2 linked regions of the Stegostoma tigrinum genome follow. The protein of the gene in region 1 interacts with the protein of each later gene in a biochemical or structural test. Links are inferred from orthologs where the notes say so. Each region holds a gene or a part of one and is shown on either strand. Other genes may lie near its edges.

What was found.
Region 2: of the proteins of MAP kinase-activated protein kinase 2 (region 1) and zfp36l1a, one has a biochemical effect on the other in vitro, tested with the Homo sapiens proteins (2 studies listed by BioGRID). The link is inferred for Stegostoma tigrinum from reciprocal best matches to the Homo sapiens genes MAPKAPK2 and ZFP36L1.

The regions. Positions count from the first base shown.
Region 1 is NC_081374.1:17,685,474-17,696,350, forward strand, and holds the start of MAP kinase-activated protein kinase 2, read left to right. Parts: upstream 1-6,064; 5' UTR 6,065-6,320; coding exon 6,321-6,566; intron 6,567-10,877. UniProt on the Homo sapiens protein: Stress-activated serine/threonine-protein kinase involved in cytokine production, endocytosis, reorganization of the cytoskeleton, cell migration, cell cycle control, chromatin remodeling, DNA damage response and transcriptional regulation.
Region 2 is NC_081363.1:80,870,339-80,880,261, forward strand, and holds the start of zfp36l1a (mRNA decay activator protein ZFP36L1a), read left to right. Parts: upstream 1-5,581; 5' UTR 5,582-7,013; coding exon 7,014-7,067; intron 7,068-8,448; exon of another isoform or gene 8,449-8,788; intron 8,789-8,970; coding exon 8,971-9,923. UniProt on the Homo sapiens protein: Zinc-finger RNA-binding protein that destabilizes several cytoplasmic AU-rich element (ARE)-containing mRNA transcripts by promoting their poly(A) tail removal or deadenylation, and hence provide a mechanism for attenuating protein synthesis.

The sequences.
Region 1 (10,877 bases):
TGTGCGTGGGATGGGGTGTGTGGGGGTTGGGGTGAGTGGGGTTGAGGTGTGTGTGGGTTGGGGTTTTTGGAGTTGAGGTGTGTGGGGGTTCGGGTGTGTGGGGATGGGGTGTGTGTGGGGATGGGGGTGTGTGTGGGGGTTAGTGTGTGTGAGGGTGAGATGTGTGTGGGGTTGGGGTGTTTGGGGTTTGATGTGTGTGGGGTTGGTGTGTGGGTGTTGTGGTATGTGGGTTGGTGTGTGTGGGGATGAGGAGTGTGTGGGTTGGGTTGGGTTGTGTGTTGGGTTGGTGTGTGTGGTGTTTGATGTGTGTGGGGTTTGTGTGTGGGTGGGGTTGCTGTGTGTGAGGATCAAAAAGTAGTGATTAGCAGTTCAAATATCTACTTTAAAAATCTTGCATGTAATGGCTACCCTCTGCAAGTTGATCATTCCTAATACTTGGCCAGCTCAGCAAAAGCTGTGGGAATAGTTTTTCAACAAATTAGTAGGAGAGTTTGATGATTAATGGATGATTGCTAATTCTGAAAAAATGTGATTAAGGTAGGATTGTAGGTTAATGATGGGGTTGGTTGTTACCAGAAATAAAAGGGACAAAATGTATGAATGCCATATTGTACCAAAGAACCATAAAAGTGCTAGGAAATTCAATAAATGAACAAACTTAAAGGATTTCTAGCTTAATGCACAAAGCATTTGGAATAAGGTGGACAAACTGACAGTGCAAATTGAGGTAAATGAATATGATCTCATAGCCACTACAGAAACATGATTATAAGGAGATTAAAACTGGGAACTTAACATTTGGGGTATTCGATCTTCCGGAGAGACAGAAAGGAAGGGTTAAAAAGGTGATGGAGAAGCTCTGTATTTAATAAATGAGGTGACTTGTGAGAGATGTTCTGGGCTTGGATGATGTACAGTCCATTTGGGTGAAAGTTAAAAAACAGCAAGGGAAAGAAGAGAGAGATAAACCAACCATGGTTAACCAAAGAGTTGCAGAGAGCATTAAGTTTAAAGAAAAAGAATGTAGGGAGGCCAAAGTCAGTGACAGCTGTAAGGATTGAGATGGATTCAAAATGCAGCAAAGGAGGATTTAAAAGATAATAAAGACAGTGAAAATAACCTATGAGAGCAAACTAGCAATGAACAAAATGTGACAATAAGAATTTCTATAAATATATAAAAAGGAAAAGAGAGGTCAAAGTGAATATAGGACCCGTAGAAAATGAATCTGGGCAGATGGTTTTGGGCAACAAGGAAATGGCAGAGGAGTTAAACAGATATTTTGCATCAGTTTGTATAGTGGAAATTATATCCAACATCCCATTAAAACTAAAGAACACAGGGAAGGAAGTAAGTACCATCACTATCACTAGAGAAGTAGTATTAGACAGACTAATGGTGCTATAGGCCAGATAAGTCCCTGCCCTGATGGCTTGCATCCTCAAATCCTAGAAGATATGGCTGCAGAGATAGTGGTGTATTGGTTGTAACTTTCCAAAAGATTCTGGAGAAGTACCAGAGGACTGGAAAACTGCTAACTTGGCACCCCTATACGGAAACAGAAGGAAGCAAAAAGTGGATAACCATAGACTGATTAGCCTAACATCTATTGTTGGAAATGTTTTGGTATCAACTAGTAAGGAAGTAACAGCCAGACATTTAGAAAATCATAATCTAAACAAATAGAGTCAGCATGGCTTCATGAAAGGGAAATCGTGTCTGACTAACTTATTAGCGTTCTTTCATTAAGTCTCTACCATATTGGATAGAGGGGCACCAATAGGTGTGTTGCATTTGAACTTTCAGAAGGCGATTGACAAGATACCTCACAAAAGGTTAAGACATGAGATAAGAGTCCATGGTACTGGAGATCGTATTTTGGCATTGCTAGAGAATTGGCTCATGGGCAGGAAACTGTAACTGGGAATAAAGGGTTTTTCATCAATTTGGTGACCTGTGACAAGTGGGGTTCCACAGAGATCAGTGCTGGTACTGCATCTCTTTACAATATAGCTTACTGATATGGTGGAAGAAAATAAATGCACTGTAGCCAAATTTGCACTTGTTGCAAGAATTGTCAGAAAGGCAGGCTACGAGAGGGATATAAACATTTTACAGAGAGATATTGAAAGGCTAAGCAAGTGAGCAAAAAGTTGGCCAATAGAGTAAAATGTAGGAAAATGTGAAATTGTTCATTTTGAAAGGGAGAACTAAGGAACAGAATGGGAGGAAACTGCAGGAAGTTGCAACACAAAGCGGCCGGAGGTTTTTTGTGTACAAAACACAAAAAGCTAGTACACGGTGCTGCAGGTATCAGGAAGGCTAATGGAATTTTGGCCCTTAATTCAAGATGGTTAGAGTAAAAGAATAGGGAAATATTTCTGCAACTGTACAAAGTGCTGGTGAGCCCACATCTGGAGTACTGAGTTGTTTTGGTCCCTCATTTAAGGAAAGGTATCATTTCATTGGAGGCAGTTCTGAAAAGGTTCACTAGGATGATACCTAGTGTGGAGGCATTGTCTTATGTGCAAACACTAAACAGAATGGGACTGCACTCACTAGAGTTTAGTACAAGGAGAGATGATCCAATTGAAACATATAAGATTCTTAAGGAGCTCGACAGTGTAAATACTGAGAGGATATTTTCCCTCATGAGAAAGAACCAGAGAACACAGTCTCAAAATAAAGAGGTTCCAATTTAAGACTGAGATGAGGAGGAATTTATTCTCTCAGAGAGTTATTCCAGAGATAGATTCTTGATCAGTAGGGGAATCAAAGGTTATTGCGAAAGGCAGGAAAGCGGTCATGAGGAATGTCAGATCAGCCATGATTCTACTGAATGGCAGAGCAAATTCAAAGGACCAAACAACCTATTCCTGTTCCCACTTGTTATGGTCTTATGGTCCTTTAAGGAAGGAAATCAGCCATCCTTACCTAGTCTTGTATATATGCAATTCCAGGTCCACAGCAGTGTGCTTGATTTTTAATGGCAAGCCATTTAGTTTAACGGCAATAAATACGCACTTTGCCAACAAATTCCATGTCACATCAAAAAATGAACAAATGAAGTGTTGCTGTCTGTTTTAACTTTTCATTATAAATGCTGTGTCATCCTTAACATTTAATTTTTGTGTCTGAGTAGGCAATAGAACTGGAGAACAGTCTGATTGCTGTAGCTTTGATTATGAATTTGGAGACATGCAAGTCCTGTCCTAGTCCAACCCATTGGCTGTCACAGAGGCATTGATATTTATTTTACAGAACTAAGCACAATACGAAACTTTATTGGTGATATTTGATCTCAAAACATCTTCAAACAAAAATGCACTGCAGATAATCACTACTGTATTGTTGTCAAGTAATTAAGAAGTTTTCTCTATTAAAAGCTACTAACTCTGATAAACAATAATTATTTAGATCTGACGTACCTGCTTTGAATTTTGAAAACAGTTCTGGGAATTTATCTTCTAATATTGCCAAAACGCAAGATTTGACCCAAAAATCAACCTTGAAATATGTAATTTAAGGATTTGCATAGGATCTAATTAAAGCTGGAGTTGGGAAATATGCCAGAAACAGCAGCAGAGAAATTTGCTGCTGTTTTTCCCGTTCAGCACATTTCAGGAAAACATGTCAATCACATTATTATAAGCTTATGAAAAAAAATCGAATGGTGATATCTGCTGAAAAATCCAGGTCCTACTCAGAATTTCAGACTTTCATCTTCAAAAGTTTGTATTCATGGTTCAGCAGCACATGTTGTCTTCTGTAGAGATGCCATACAGCAGCTGTGGCACTGAGGAGTCAGGTTTGCCAGGATCGGCACAGATAAACTCCAGAACACAATCAAACAAAAACGCTGTAATTGCTAGACATCTGAAATGAATTCAGAAAATGCTGGTGATACACCCCAGATCATACCTCAGTCTGCAAAGAGAACAGATAGGTTATCCTTTTGGTTTGTGGTCTCTTGTATAGGATTTAGAATCCATTTCCAGGGAATCTTTCCAGCATGAGAATGAAAGACAAAAATGTGATTGTGACACCCTTGTCAAGTGAGCTGTTATGAGATAAGAAAACGGGAAAGAGAAAATGAGAAGTGAATGAGAAAGAAAGCAGAAGAGATAATTTAAAAAATGATAAAGTTGGTTATTTTTGTCTTTTTGTCAGTAAACAGCATTTATTGTCCATCCCTCACTGCCCTTGAGAAGGTGGAGGCAAGCCCCCTTCTGCAACAGTTCATGAGTGCACAGCCTGTGTGTTTTCATTGTTGAGTTAAGTTCTGTTATTGAGGAAAGCAGAGCTCCATGCTCAGTCTAGCACTTAAACACATTATGAAGCAACTTCCAGCCATCAATAACAAATGTAATTATTGGTGAGATTTATCCAGTCATTCAGGTTTGTTTAGATGAAAGTTTCCATTGAATTTGACAATGTAGTTTTCTTCTGACACTGACTATATTAGAATGGGTCAACACACAACTTTCAAATGATTTCTTAGCAGTGATCATTTAAAAAATGGTCCAAATGGATGAGACTTGGTCACAAGTCAAAGACTGAGGACGATAAGACAGTGGTAACAGCAGATTTGTAATGGTGTCAGTTTTCTTTTTATAAATGCCCTTATAATGTCATAGAGACTTACAGCACAGACAAATGCCCCTTCGCCCATTACATCTACATTAGTCAAAAGCAACCATTTAACTATTTTTACAGAGATAGTGGGAACTGCCAATGCTGGAGAATCTGAGATAACACGGTTTGAAGTTGGATGAACACAGCAGGCCAAGCAGCAACAGAGGAGAAGGAACGTCTGACGTTTCAGGTCGAGTCCCTTCTTTAAGAAGAAGGGTCTCGACCCAAAACATCAACTTTCCTGCTCCTCTAATGCTGCTTGGCCTGCTGTGTTCATCCAGCTTCACACCGTATTATCTCATTTAACTATTCTAATCCCATTTCCAGCATTTGGCCCATAGCCTTGTACGTACTGACATCACAAGTACACATCTAAATAGTTCTCGAATGTAACAAGGGTTTCTGCCTCCACAATGCTGACAAACTGTGAGTTCTCCATTCCCAGCACCCTCTGGGTGAAAATGATTTTCCTCACATCTCTTCTAAACTTTAAATTGAGTTCCCTGGTCATTGATTTCTCCATCAAGAGGAAATGTTTCTTCTTGTCTGCCCGTTCTATGCCTCTAATAATTTCATACACCTCAAATCAGGCCCCTTCTCAATCTCCTCTACCCTCAGGAAAACAACCCATGTGTCTTGACTCTCTTCATACAAGAAATTCTTCACTCCAAAGGCTAAATCTCCTCTGCACCCTCTCCCATCACTATGATATTCCTCCTATATAACATGGATTTCTGCATTGCATGCAATATGCTATCTGCAGCCAAATCATGTTTTACATAGTTCCAACTAACCTCCCTGTTCTTAACCTTAAAGGACTGTATTGTCTCTCTTATGTTCAGTCTTATGCAGCAATGGTGTACATGCACTCCAAGGTCCCTTTGATTCTCAGCGCTTCCAGTACTACCCATCATGTGTTTCCTCACCTTGTTTATCCTGACTGAGTGAATCACCCTCACATTTATCTGGATTGGATTCCATTTGTCTCGGTAAGGGAGTTTTTGTGGTGCACTGGGAATACCCCTATCTCTGGGCTTGATATGGCTTGGGTTCAAGTTCCAACTGCACCAGAGATGTGTCATAATATTTCTTCTCAGATTAATTTTTAAATACCTATGCGATTGTTAAGAGTGGGCAGCAGATAGGTGGCTGGCCTCATGACTGAAAATCTGGCCACAAGAGCCAAGTACTCTGCTGTTGCTCCCAGCCACCATGTTTTTGATTTTACCTTGGGTACAATGACATTTCTGAACATAGTAGCATTTCTGACACGCACTATCAAAATGGCTCCGATTTTGCGACAGAAATTCCACGGCAGCCCTCCAGGAAGGCCGAAACAAACATTGCCTTTAAGCGTCCTTTGTCCCGACCACCTTTAAGAAAAGGCCGTCATTACTCTCCCCGTCTGGTAGTGAGGCTTTGACGTCAGCACGTCTATTTCCACTGAAACTCAATTGGAAGTGCCGTGAAACTGATCAAGTGGGATCTTTAGCTAGGCTTTTAAAAAAAGGGAGATTTGGATTTTGATCGCTACTTCTTGACAGGAGGTGTAGCAACTCGGGGGATTTGTGAGGTTTGGTGATCCAGCTACTTTTACTGTCTCTGGTGGCAAGTCTGTAACTTGGTGTTTGACAAAGAGCCAGGGGTTTGCTCTGGGTTACAAAGTATCGAGCTCCGATGTAACAATGTTGTCGAACGTTGCGACAGCCAGGGATCCGCAACAAGGTAACCAGATCCCAGAGCCGCCGCCTCCGGCTCCCCTTTACCCTCCTCCCCCGGCTCCCTTCCAGCTACAGAGAACCGGCGCTCAGACCAAGAAAAACGCCATCACCGACGACTACAAGGTCACGGCGCAGGTTCTGGGACTGGGCATCAATGGCAAAGTTTTGGAATGTTTTAGCAAGAAAACCCAGGAGAAATTTGCCTTGAAGGTAAGTTCCAACGTCGAAGTTTGACAGCGGACTACTCATGTTATCCGCTCGATCGACCTTCTGTAAACATAGTTTGAAGTAAACTCCCTAATGGTACGGAGGTTGGGGGGTTTGTTTGGGGGGGGGGCGGTGTGTTCTGTCAGACAGAGTCCTAAAACGTAGAGTTTAGAATGTTTCTAAAGGATTTTATTAAGCCGGACTGAATCTACCCGTCACTGTAGCTTCCTAACACAGGCGTGGAACTCGTTCTGAAATATCTGGGAGAATTGAAAGGTGAAAAAAATCATCCCTCTCTCAGTCGGGCCTAAAAGGCTCCCTAAAACTGGGAAGAGAAGCGGTACGGAGACTTTGAGGTGGGAGGCTGAGAAATTGTGCGGCAGGTGGATTTCCTCCCAGACCCCTGTATTTGAAAACTGACTGACTCGCTTTTATTTGTTTGTACTGCTTTGTCACACTGAAACCTCTCACCGGAACAGGCTCCCTCTTCAGATACAAATAACAAAAAGGCGGTGTGGGGGGCTGCATGCTTTGAGGACAATACGGACCACCCCCCCCCCCCCTCTCTCCGTCACCACCAGGATGAGGAGAGTATTGGCTCTGTGTTTTTCAGTCAGCGAAGTTGCCCATCTGCCATTCCCGGCGGTCCTGCCGTTTCGGAATCCTTGTTGTGGCGGGGGGAACTGTTCAGTTAACAACGTTCAACTCCAGTATCGACAGACAGATGGTCTTTCCTTCGAGACTTCCCCGGTTTCGGGAGTGTAATAAGTTTGTCATTTCAGTAACACGTAGTGTTTGGTATTGTAGCTGGCTTGATGTATAGAGATGGAGGTGAGGACGGACGATGATTACTTAGTACCGAGTCTTAGGGTCGTCTCGCATGGGAGAGACGTATGTTGCATTCTCCACCCACCTCTTTTTCCCCCCCCCCCCAAACACACAAATCTCATGGTTTGTTTCTTAATATGTGGCGGATCTTGGGAAATAATTCTCCCTTTGCACGTTTGCGGGGTGTGAGGAAGGGAATATTCATCCATCGGTTATCACTTCTTTATTGTGAAAAAGATTTACAGCGAAACTCCTCGACCTGCTCTTTGAACGCACTTGAAGTTTACACGGATTTACCAACAGCAAATGCTGTTTGCACGAGGTAAACAGCATGTCTCCGACAAATTTCCGATGGAAAAGTGCTGTCATATTTGTGTACTGTTTTGACTATTCAGGAGACGAGTTGATTTCAGCTTCTAGCCAGGTTGTGGTGCGTCAGATATTCTTGAATTATGTCTCTGCGTAGATTTGTGATAGTTCGCCGATTAACCCCAAATCCCTGAGACTGCTGGCACTGAACCAGAAAGGCCTTTGGGACGTGATCTTGCTCATTTCTCCTGAGAGGCACAACTTGCCGAAAAGAAACTTGAGCATTGCCAGCACTTTTGTTTAGTGGAAATCTTGTACATTATATTGAGTTTAATGTTACTCAGTTGGCATTTTTGTGTAGGCCAGCTATTATTCTAAGCTACTTGCTGAATTTGACTATATTTTAAGAGAATCAGTCTACATTTGTGTCTGTTAGCTAAGGTTATTGTTAATTAAGATCGGAGATAGTCAAAGCAACGTCATTAACTATGTGCGAATATATTGATGTCCCTGCATGTCCTAAATTTTCCCATATGAATTAGGTGGTTCAGTTGTGTTTTAGACACGGCAGTTAGGAAGCATTTTCTGTGGGTCTCCGTGTTCATCTTGGAAAAATAAACAAAGCCTGTATAAAACATTCTGATGGACTTGGCAGAATCCATCAGCGGGGTTGGACTGTCCGCTAGGGACTGCATTGTTGGGACAGTTTATGAAGTTCTTACTGTGAGGCTTAGTGACACAAAAATTGTGCTTTGTTCACCATTATCTGCTGATTCAGAAATGACCGACCAAAGTGAAAGGATAAGAATAACCGCATAGGATTCTGGCGAGACTGAAAAGGATAAAACCTAAATAACAGGTAATGCTGGATACACTCAGTGGCTCAAGGTGGCATTTGTAGAGAGGGGAAAAATTGAATAAATAAATACTTCAAGTTACTGACCTTTCAACGCCCACTGATCTGGGACAAGTCTGTAAAGCACTGAGGTAAATGAAAAAGTAATGATTCACTGACTTTAATCAGATACTTGAAGGTATTAAAAGGGGAAAATCTGAAGTAGATGGGTTTGCAGGGTGAAGTCTTGGTTGAAAAGTGAGTTCGCCCAGAAGACAGTGCAATAATTCTGGAATTGTGTCAGAGAAGGGATCATAATAACGTATTTGGAGCTTGGACCAAACAAGAGAGGCCAGCTTAAAAATTGCAATTGTAGGAAAAGCCACAAAACATAACATTTTATGTACAACTGATACTCAGCTTTAACCTTCTACAGTGTGTTGCAAGATGACTTAATTCCTGAACATTTTTGATCTTAAAGTAGCGTTCAGTGTTAACAATTATTTTCTTTAAGAGTGCAGATTGCTTTCTATATTGGAAGTAGTTTGGCTTAAATTGAAGGACTACATAAAATCTATTTTTACTTAAGTAATTCTGCATGGATGAAATTAATCCTCTTCCACTATTTGTTATTGATATAGGAAGTGATTTGAGTTACAGCTTGGATCAATGCATTTACATGCTTTTTCAGGCTCACTACTGTGTAGCTGTTTCCATGAAACTTGCAGTATTCATGTGGGAGTTGACACTTGCATTTTCATGAACTGTGGTTGCATCAGGTTTGAATGAATTCTGCTTCCTATTTAGATGTTCCAAAACATGACTCTTCAATAAGTAACTTTTTAAAGTATGTGCAGAACAAGTTCAGTGTTATTTTAGATGATACTGGAGAAATCAAGGATGCACCCATAAGTTTTTATGAAATTATCTTTAATGTTACAGAGCACAGCTACTTCAACAGCAAAATGTCTTGCATTTTTGTCCTTTAATAGAACTACAATCTTGTTTTAAAGACTTTAGATCGTGTGGAGCAACAAAACACTGCAAGTGAGCTGGAGGAGCTAAAAGCAAAATAGTGTAACTGCTGGACATCTGAAACGGAACGTGCTGAAAACACTCTGAAAGTTCAGCAGCATCCATGGAGAGAGAAAAGCAATTTAAATTTTGGATCAATAACTTTGCATTAGAGCTTGCAGGTGATAGTGGGTGACTAGGTGCCATAGATGAAAAATAAGGTGTCGTCCACTTTTCTGAAGAAGGGTCTTGACCCGAAACAACAAACTTTCCTGCTCCTCTGATGCTGCTTGGCCTGCTGTGTTCAATCAGCTTCACGCTGTGCTATCTCAGACTCTCCAGCATCGGCAGTTCCTACTATCTCTGTCATCCACTTAAGGCAGAGCTGCATAATTAAACAGTTGATCAAGGCTTTAGAGTTACCCCAGGCTGGTACTTTATAGGGAAGTACTGAAAATGCTAGAATTTTGAAATACAATACCGGAAATGCTAGAAATACTGAGCAGATCAGGCAGTATCTGTGGAGAAACAGCATTTAATATTTTGTGTTGAGTCCTCTGTTTTAATGAAGGGTCATTGTGTTAATTGTTAACCCTGTTTCTCTCTACATGTACTTTGGAATATTCCAAACATTTTTCATTTTGTAATGACCAATGTATGTCTTCCTGCCCAGAGTTGATGTTCACTGTAGCTTTGTGTGTAATGTAAAATATTTATTTAGCAAAGCCAGATTAGTTTATAATTCTGAACTTAGAAACAAGGCAGTAATCATCACTCAGATATGCAGACAATCAAACAGGAGTAACCCTCAGGAGAATCTGAGATAAGAAGGTGCGGAACTGGATGAACACAGCAGGCCAAGCAGCATCTTAGGATAAGGAAAGCTGACGTTTTGGGCCCAGACCCTTCTTCAGAAACGGGGGAGGGGAAGCGGCTCGTGAAATAAATAGACAGAGAGGGGGAGGCAGATAGAAGATAGATAAAGGAGAAAATAGGTGGAGAGGAGACAGACAGGTCAAAGAGGTGGGGATGGAGCCAGTAAAGATGAGTGTAGGGGGGTGGGGGGAGGTAGGGAGGCGATAGGCCAGCCCAGGGAGGACAGACAGGCCACGGAGGTGGGATGATGTTAGTAGGTAGGAAATAGAGGTGCGGCATGAGAGGAAGAACAGGCAAGGGAGGCGGGGACGAGCTGGACTGGTTTTGGGATGCGGTAGGGGGCGGGGAGATTTTGAAGCTTGTGAAATCCACATTAATACCATTGGGCTACAGGGTTCCCAAGCGGAATATGAGGTGCTGTTCCTGCAAACTTCAGCTGGCATCATTATAGC
Region 2 (9,923 bases), on another chromosome or scaffold:
GGGGAACTGAGACCACCCTTCCTTCCGCTCCTCCGTCATTGTCCAAGGAGTGTGGGGGAATAAATCCCTCAGGGCCATCGGTCCATGCCTAAGTTGGCACAGGAGGAGGCACCCTCCCACCTCCGGGCCTGTTTCACCACTCAACCCTACCCATCAACCTTTGCACCAGAATCCCTCGGAATCCGTAACAAAAACCCCGAAAGACCTGTGGGTGCTGCAAATCGGGAACAAAAACAGAAGTTGCTGGAAAAGCTCAGCGTCTGTGAAGAGAAAAAAAAAGCAAAAAAAAAGAAAGTCAGAGTTAGCGTTTTGATTCTGGGTGACCCTTCTTCAGAAAAGATGGCCGCTACCTTCCCAGCCACTGTCAGTTCCGAGGGAGGGTCACCCAAACCCGGAACGTTAACTCGGAATTTTTTGTCTGTCTTCACAGATGCTGCTGGACTGGCTGTGTGTGCTTCTCCAGCAACTTCTGCGTTTGTCCCTCGATATCCTTGTCCGCCCATCCCAGTGCCCGGTTAACTCACCTACACTCTCTGGGGGAGAAGAGTGCACCACTTTCCCACTGCCCCTTCCACGTCTGATTCTGTTCTCTATGGCCGAATTCTAATTTTAGGATTGACCACGCACCTCGCCCCCCCCCCCCCCCCCCCCAATAACTCACCGTCAACGCCCCCACCCCGTCCTCAGGTCAGCAAACCGCCCCGCACCCTACCCAACCACAGGAAACAGCCTTGCTCACCTCACACCACCAGTTAAATAGAGCATCAGTGGGCGCATGTCGCCTACCCATTACATCATCATGAATAGCCAACCCCTTGCTCTTGGCACTGACCGTCTTCCACCGGGCTTGTGGCACTGTGGGCGATTTCCAGAGCCCTAGGCACCGGACGGGATGTTGGGTTGAGCCTGCAGCTCAAGTGGAACAAAAGACTCAACCATTGCAGCGTTTGTACAGTAACCTGTGAGGTGTTGCATGGGGCTGTGGAAACACAGTCGAGTCACCCAGAGCTTGGGGAAACTTGTTACTCTCACGGTAACAGAGGCAGGAAGTGAGCAGTGATGACTCGAGACACCAGCTGGAGGTGGGCCGAGGAGGCCAGAGGTGCAAAGGGAGGTGGGTCAGTCTCTGATGGTCACCGCAGAGGAAATGCCCACTTGCCCCGAGCCTGCTTGGGCTGTGACCAGGCTTTTATTGCTGCCAGTGTGCCTGCCAGCTGGCAGAAATCACAAGCATCCGTTGCAGCACTTTGCGGAGTTTGACTCAGGCTGGCATACCCGTGCTCGCCATCCGAACATGACCAACAAGGTCCATGTGCCATTCTGGTGCCCGCTGAGCTATAAAAGGGGCCTGGGACGGGAGGACTCACCTGCCAGGCATTGCTGACAAAACGGTTCCCAGGATCTACACCCTGGCAATGATGGGTGGAACTCACTCTCCTTCCTCTGCCTTCTCCGTGACCTCCCCACCCCCCACAACCTTTCTCCATGACCTCCCACCCACCCCCCGCCACCTTGCTCCGTCTCCCTCTCAGTTGCTGCTTCCTCCTTCCGGGAGTTGGGTGGGGGGGAAGCATTTCCACTCTCGAACACTCTTCCCTTGTCTCACTTCCCTCACCTCAAATGACTGGCCTGAATCCAGCTGCACTATGTATCTCAGGGGCCTCCCTCCAGCCTTAGGCCAGCTATTTTTTCTGGAGTGGGATTAGATGGTCTTTGCTGGCTTTCTCCCTCTCTGAGCAGACTTTTCATGTGTTTGTCACTAGACAACGCCAAAGACATGGGATCAATTAAAATAAAATGCCAAGCGGCAATTTCTCCCTCTCAATCCAGGAGCGAAATTCTATTTGTAGCCCAAGAAGGGGCATGAGTATCAAACTTCCAAATTTAGCCTAGAGTATCCCGAATGAAGATTGATCTCTAGGTCTCCACTGCAAGCCATAAGGGTACCGACGCATTGTATGTGTGCCCTCGTTGATCAAAACATGGTCAAAGACACAAGATGCTTCAAAGGATTGCAACCAACAAAATGTGACGTGGAGCCTCAGACCAAGAATCTGGTGAAAGGTGTAGGTTTTTAAGGCGTGTCTCAGGGGAAGAGGGAAAGGTGTGAAGTGAGAATTCCATGGCTTTCAGGCCTTTGACAAATAGGTGAAGCAGAAGAACTTGCCTAGACCCCAAGGCCTGGGAAGTGATGATGACCCTCCGTTACGAGCCCTTCCACTTATCTGGGGTGAGTCATGAACAGCTGATGGAAAGTTGAGACTTCCTAGCAACGTTCTCTCTCTTTCATGGTTTTTCCATTCTCCCTGGAAAGCTCTGCTCCCCCTTGATCCGTCCTGATGGCCTGCAATCCAGACCACACAGCTGTAACAGGCACAAAATTCCAGGAATTGGGAAGCAGGAAACAAAGCAGAAAGCAGCCCGCCTGATCACTGGCATCAGTGCCTGAAGCAGGCCTACACTAACCCTTGACCAATGTTAAGTTAGTTGTCATGTTCGTTTTTCTTGAGTAGAGGGTCGGGCTGGGTTGGGGTGCATGTGTGGTGGTGTTTTATGTGTGAGGGAGTATGTGTGGAATGTTTGTATATGTAAAGGGGTATGAGGCGGGAGTGTGTATGTGAAGGCAGTGTGTATATGTGAGGGGTATATGTACGTGTGTGTGTTGGGGGTGTGTGTGTGAGGGGGGTGTGTGTTTGTGCGCGCGCGTGTGTGTGTGTGTGAGGGGTGTGTGTATGTGAGTGAGTGGTATGTGTGTGTGTGTCTGTATGTGTGTGTGAGGGGGGTGTGAGGTATGTGTGTGTGTGAGAGGGTGTGTGTGTGTGCGGGCATGTGTGTGAGGGTTGTCTGTGTGTGTATGTGAGAGGGGATGTGAGGGTGGTGTGAGGAGGGCGTGTGTGTATGTGTGTGTGTGAGGGGGGTGTCTGAGGTGCATGTGTGTGAGGGGTGTGTGTGTGTGTGTGTGAGAGGGGATGTGAGGGTGGTATGAGGAGGGTGTCTGTGTGTGTGCGTGTCTGTGTGTGAGGGGAGTGTCTGATGTGTGTGTGTGTGTGAGGGGTGTGTGTATGTGAGTGAGGGGTATGTGTGTGTGGCACGGGGGTGTACAAGCTGTTGAAATTTATGCCATGCATTATTAAGGAGGCACACCACACCACAATGTTACTTCCTAATACCAACCTGGTGATGAGATACAGCTCTTCCCTGGTCATGGGACCTTCACTATTCCCTGTCAGTCTGCCCACTCTTCCTGATCTGGCTCAGAGTCCAACTATAGCCCGACACCCCTAGGACCGTGAATGGAAGTGCACAAAAATGTGCATTCCTCTAGCACCTTCCACCACCTCAGGATTTCCCCTAGCATTTCACAACCAGGTTTCGAAGTTGGGGGGGGGGGGGGGTGGGGGGTGGGGGGGGAAGGGCAGCAGGGCAAGCTGAGCGCAGCAAGATTCCACAAACAGCAATGCGATAATGGCACCCGATGAGTGATTTAAAGCTGACAGCCTGGGGTGACTGCTTCGCAGACCTGGTCCTGAGCTGCTGGCCACATGCCACTTTAATTCACTCTTTGCCTGTCGGGCTGCCATGTCTGTCCAAGGCCTGTTGCAGCCTTCCAGCAAAGCCTGACGGAAGCTGGAGGAACAACAACTTCCCCACCCCGGCCAAATTTTCCAGCTGCCAACCTCCATCGTTGGGTTCAGCTACTTCAGACTGTGAACTTGGTTGCTCCATTTTGAGCTTCTTTTGTTTTTTGCTGTGAGCCAGTTTAAATCTGGTTTTTCAAGTTCTTGCTTTTGAACAGAGGCATTCATTATTCAACTGTCCACATTCATGCTGGACAAATGATTCATTCCATTAGTGCCACCATTACCACTCCCTTTGCCTTTTAGTTGCTGTTAAATTCTACCACTCTACCCCAGAAATTGCCCTATTGCTCGATCTAGCCCTGCCCTCTACCACCCCCCAACCAGCTTTCAAAGCGCACCACATTTGTGAAGGAGGGTCACTGTACTCAAAATGTCAATTCTGTTATTCTCTCTCTCTCCCTCTACAGACGCTGCCAGTCCTGCTGAGTTTCTCCAGTGCTGTTTAAGAGTTAGATTTTATTGTGCTCAAGCACAGGAGTGCATGAGTATAGTTGAAAAGGGTACAGAGTCACCAGTCTCTGGTGCCATTTGGTGCTTTCTGTTTTTGTTTCAAGATTTTTGGCAGTTCAATGAGATCATGGCTCATCTGCGGCCTAACTCCATCTAACTACCTTTGGCCCGTGTAGAATCCCTATGCCTGGCGTGCATCAGCCCTTCTAGCCTACCCTGTACCTGTAACCCAGCATTTCCACACCCAGCCTGCACCTCCCTGGACACGACAGGCAATTTATCATGGCCAATCCGCCCAATCTGAACATCTTTAAGCACCCGGAGGAAACCCACGCAGACACGGGGAGAATGTGCAAACCCAACACAGACAGTCGCCCGAGGCTGAAATCGAATCCGGGCCCCTGGCTAACCAGTGTGCCACCCTTACACCTTTGCTCAACAACATTTTTAAACATATTTTAACAACAATTTGAGATCGGAGAGGCCAAGGGACTGCTGGGATAGTGTTTAAGGCAGGGACTGAAAACCAAACATTAACTTGAAGCAAGGGCTGGATAGGGGACAGGGGAGGGAGATAAAGAAAGCGGCGTCTCCCCACCACCTCCTCCCAACTCCCACCCCCCAAGCAAAAACTGAAAGCATTCCTGTAGAGGGTCCCAATTGGAAGTAGCACAAAACGCGGCCTGGTGGGGAAGGGTGTGGGGCTTGTTGTTTACAATGCGCCAGTGCAGGAAGTGGTGGGACCTCCCCTCCCTGCAGCCCGGCAGAGAGAAAACCAGTGTGATACAGCCTCCACACTCCCATACAGCACATGGAGAGAGAGGCGCCAGCGCTAGGAGCTGTCTCATCCCCCTCAGATGAGTCTAAAAACATTGTCTGGGGTTTGGCGCACCTTCAAAACATATCCCAGTGGCCGCAAAGGTAAATAACTTGTGAAGAGAAGAACGAGAACTTTCAAAGGGGAGCCCCTGTCCTGACCTCTGTGGCTATTAGGGATTTTGTTTTGCGGGAAAATAACTTGGGTTGGGGGAGGGGAGGAAAACTTGTAGAATTGCTTTTCCAAAAATAGAAGATGAATATTAAAAGAGAGAGAAAGCAAAGCGACAGTATTCTAGCTGTTATTTCGCGGGTGGATAGTGTCAACTATCTGCTGATTCAGCCACCACGTGCAAATAGGATTGAGGAAGGTTTGGTGATTTGAGATCTGAATGGATTCAGTTCCTCTCTCTTCGCCACCCCCTCCCCCAAGACACAGTCGCACTGTTTATAATGTTGAACCCTCCGTTTTAAAATAGCCACAGCGCTGAACCACACCACATCTCTATTTTTCCCCCCCGATTCCAGTTTCAGTATTACTTTATTTTGCCGAACTTTTTGTTTTACGAAAGGTGGGGGGGGGGATCGAGAGTCGCTGTAAATCGTTGAGCTTTGGAAAATTGAAGAAAAAGCGCATGACGGGGGGGGGGGGCGTTCGCTGATGGATCCTGAAAAAAACCAACATTAGGCGGATTCACTCGGAACGAAAAGTTTAAGGAAAAAATAGCTTAAGCGATACCAATTAGAGTGCGCTTAAATAAGGGGAGGGAGGAGGAGAAAACTATTTAATACAAACCCCTGCACTGTGTAGGGAGTCACATAAAGAGAGGGGGGTGAAATGAGATTTTTTTAAAGGTGGAATAAAAAGGAAATGTTTCCTAAAGGGGGAGGAATGAGGGAAACGTCTTTTTTATAAAAGGGGGGAATTAAGAAAAACATGATTTTTTAAAATGAGAAGTCAAACTTTGTTTTCAAGAAGGAATAAGAAAAACACAGAAAGTTGACGTCAGGAGGCGCTTATTTGGCCTTCTCAAACCGAAGGGCCAACGTATTTTTATAAAGCCCTCTTCTCTCGTTTCATTCTTATTTTCTTCTAACCCCCCCAAAAAAAACTCAACTAAAAAGGCTCCTTTAGCGCCATGTGCTCTCTCCCGCCAAAACCCGTTGTAACAGACATGAAATTGCAACCATCTGTTACAGACGATAAGCCGCGCACAATGCAAATCATTCGGAAACAGCCAAAACACTGCGAGTCGACGTACATTTAAAAAAAAACACTATTAAAACTACGCTTTTTTAAAAAATTAAAACAGCCATTATCTGAGTGGCCGCTTTTAAAAACACGTTTTGAAACAGCGTTGCACCCTTTACCAAACCCGCTTGAACCTTGTGCAACATATTGCGGGGCACCACATTTCACCGCCCCCCAAATGTTTGATCCAGAAAGTTTTTTATAAAACAACGCATTCCTCCCCCTTGCTCAAACATTTCGCAATGGCTTCTTCCCGATCCAAATCCCTTTCTGAACTGTGCAGCTCGCTCCAAATCCCGCCCAAAACAAAAAAAATCCAACAGACTGAAAACTACCAATTAGTTAACTTCATTGATGTTGTATGATGTAAAATTTTAGTTCATTTAACAAACAGGAGGGTGGAAAAAAACACCTTAACAAACTCGTAAAGAGGAATTTTATATATATATATATAGAGAGAGAGAGAAGAGAGAGCGCCATGTAAAAAGTTTTAACTTGGATTTGGTGGGAAGGCGTTAATTTTCCTTTCTCGCTCTGTGCTGCTTGGGTGCAGTTACTGTCAGTCAAAGAGATTTTTTCAAAAAAAAGAGCTCGCAAGCCAGGCTGATTTAAATACCAGGGATCCGCCTACGGGGGGAAGGGAAATTATTTATGGGTGATGTCGGACTGCGAGTTTTTGAAAGTCTGCGGGGCGAGTGGGAGGCTCGCAGCACACACACACAGGGAAAGGAAGAAAATAATAGCAGTCGGAGCTTCACTGTAGTTGGGGAGTCGATCCGATCCGTCTCGCCCCGCCCCATCCCCCGGCTTTCACAGCCGTATCGACCTGCTTTTGCTAACCCGGACACCTCGACATGTCTACAAAGTTCACCTCATGTTTCTACGACATTGGAGAAGTTTTATGCAAGGTAAAAAGAAGCACGCGCTAACTTTTGTTTTGAGTCGCCCTCTGTGTGAGTGTGTGTGTGTGTGTGTGAGAGAGAGAAATGGTATTAATTATTCCAGCAAGCACGTTGCAACTTTCTCAGCCACTCGATCTACCGATGGCTTTCTTCATTTCTCTCGCTCTCATTCTGCATTTAATCAAACAATTTTGTGTGGACGTTTTGGTGTAGCCACCTTTCTGAGCAAAGACTCCCGGAATGATGCCTTAAGATGAGAGAGTTTTAATTCTGCTCTTTTTAAAAACAAAATTTAAAAAAACTTGACGGCTGATTGCGGATTTCATATCCTTAACGATCCCACCCCCACGCCTGCGACATTAGAGATTCCTGCGTGTTATTTTTTTAAATGGACTTCTTTTCTGGCTGTTTGAATTTGGCTGTATATTTTGCTCTGTCCTGTTTGAGGCGGTTTGGTGGAACTTTCTTTCCTGTTTATCTGTTCTATATTTTAACCCATTATGTAGTGCTTCTCCGGGTGTTTGTTTTTGTTAAATTGGTATTTTAAAATAATTTCGGGTGGCGATGGAAGAGAAGGAGGAGGAGGGTGAGATTTCTTGATTCCAGATCAGGCATGTTGTTTTGGGAGGGGGAGTTCTGATTTGGAACGTTGATACCCCTGATTTGGAACGCGCCAAGATTCTGATTTGGAACTTCAGGAGTCCCCACCCACTTTTTTTGTTACTTCTGTTGCCCCAGTTTGGCTTAAAAGGGGCATCAGTTCATCCTGGACACTCAGACAGAGAGAGCCCCATCGCTCTTGCTCTGTGTACCCATTCGCCCACCCCACCCCCCCCTTTAAATAAAGGTTAAGTCTCTCGCCTCCCCTCCCAAGAAGGCGATTAGTACCAGGAATTACACCACTGAAAGGTGTACAAAAAGTGGGAGAGAGGGGGGGGAGGCTTATTGGGAAGAGGGTGTTAGGGAGTGAAATCTCGCCGGAGCACACTTATCAACTTTCTTATTTGTTTCTGTTACTTCCATTCAAGTTTCTCCGAACATGTTGGAAATGGGGCATTATTTGGATGTGGTATTTATGAGTGGAACACTGTTATTTTTGGTAAGCTGTGGGGAGGAGAGAGTGGTTCTTACCTGTCAATATTGTGACTGCAGTGGTCAGGGGATGGTTTGTTAGTGGACTGTGCTCCAGGAGTGAGCATGAGTTGGGGGAATGGGGCAGGGGAGCGCCTACAGGGTGCAGCGCTGTGTAATGACCCCCCACCAGTAACTTGCCCTTTGTCATTTGAGTTGCCCCAAGGAACATCGGGGGGGGGGTTGGTTTGCGGGGGACAGTCTCATTGGTGCTGACTACTGCCTGGTGAGCCACAAGCCCATCTCTTTGCCTGTTCAACGTAAACAAGTGTTGCTGGCTGTGACGTCAAATTCATTACCGTTCTCGCTCTCTCTCTCTCTCTCTCTCTCTCTGCCCCATAATAGCTATCAGTTACGATAGACTTCAGCTCAGTTCCTTTAGGAGAGGGAAGACCGATGACGATCTGATTAAATCTTTAAAAGTCCGAAATGGTTGGACAGGATGGAGATAGAGGATGTTTAATTGGGCTAGTAGGGGAATCCACCTCCTGGGGCCGCAAATACAAAAATCACTAACAAAACCATTACGGAATTTGAGAAAACGTTCTGCACCGAGATATTGACACTTAGTACCTCATGGACTGGTTAGGTTGAAGGTAAACTCTTTAAAGGGGATGAAGCGTGTAGGCGCCTTTTTAAGGGGGTGAAGTGGGTAGGAAGATTAATGCTGGTAATGGGGAGGCTGAGATTGGATATACAACTTGTATAGCAGGCTGGGTTTTTTTTCCCCACTCTTGTCGTGTCTAAAGCAATCGTTTTGCTTTCTGTCCTCGCCCAGAACAAGATGATTAGCTACAACAACAACATCAACGCAGGCAGCTCAAGTGTGCCCCTGCTGGACAGGAAGGCAGTCGGGACCCCGACACTGATGGACTACCAGAGGAGACATTCTGTCGCCCTTGTCAACGCTAACTCCAAGTTCAACCAGAACCAGCTGCTGAACAGCTTCAAGCTGGAGCAGAGTGGTAGCACTGCCGGGGCCAACAAGGAGAACAAATTCCGGGACCGCTCCTTCTCGGAGACGGGCCTGCAGAAAGCCCAGAGCCAGGTCAACTCCAGCCGCTACAAGACAGAGTTGTGCCGCCCCTTCGAGGAGAATGGCTCGTGTAAGTACGGCGACAAGTGCCAGTTTGCTCACGGCATCCACGAGCTGAGGAGCTTGGCCAGGCACCCCAAGTACAAGACTGAGCTCTGCCGCACCTTCCACACCATTGGATTTTGCCCGTACGGCCCTCGCTGCCACTTCATCCACAACGCAGAGGAGAGACGCCTGTCCCCCGTTCACGACCAGCAGCATCTCCCACTCTCCTCCTCCAACAAGATCGACCGGCCTCGCCTGCAGCACAGCTACAGCTTCTCTGGCATCTCCAGTTCCTCCAGTGGGCTGCTGGGCAGCCCCACTTCGATCACCCCTCCGCCCATTTTCAGCTCTGAGGACCTCAGCTCCTCCCCCACATTGCCAGACTGCGCCAGCAACCCTTTCACCTACTCGAGCCAGGAACTACCCAATCTGTTTGCGCCCAGCATTGGCATCCAGGTTCCCATGACCTCCGCCAACAATGGCGCCCATTCGCCTTCCTTCCTGCTCCGGTCTTTGGCTGAGTCGCCCCATCTCTATGAGCCTCCCCCGAGCCCTCCAGACTCGATGTCCGACAGCTACCTGAGCAGCTCTGGGAGTGTGAGCGGGTCAGAGTCTCCTACCCCTGACCTCAGCAAGCGTCTCCCCATCTT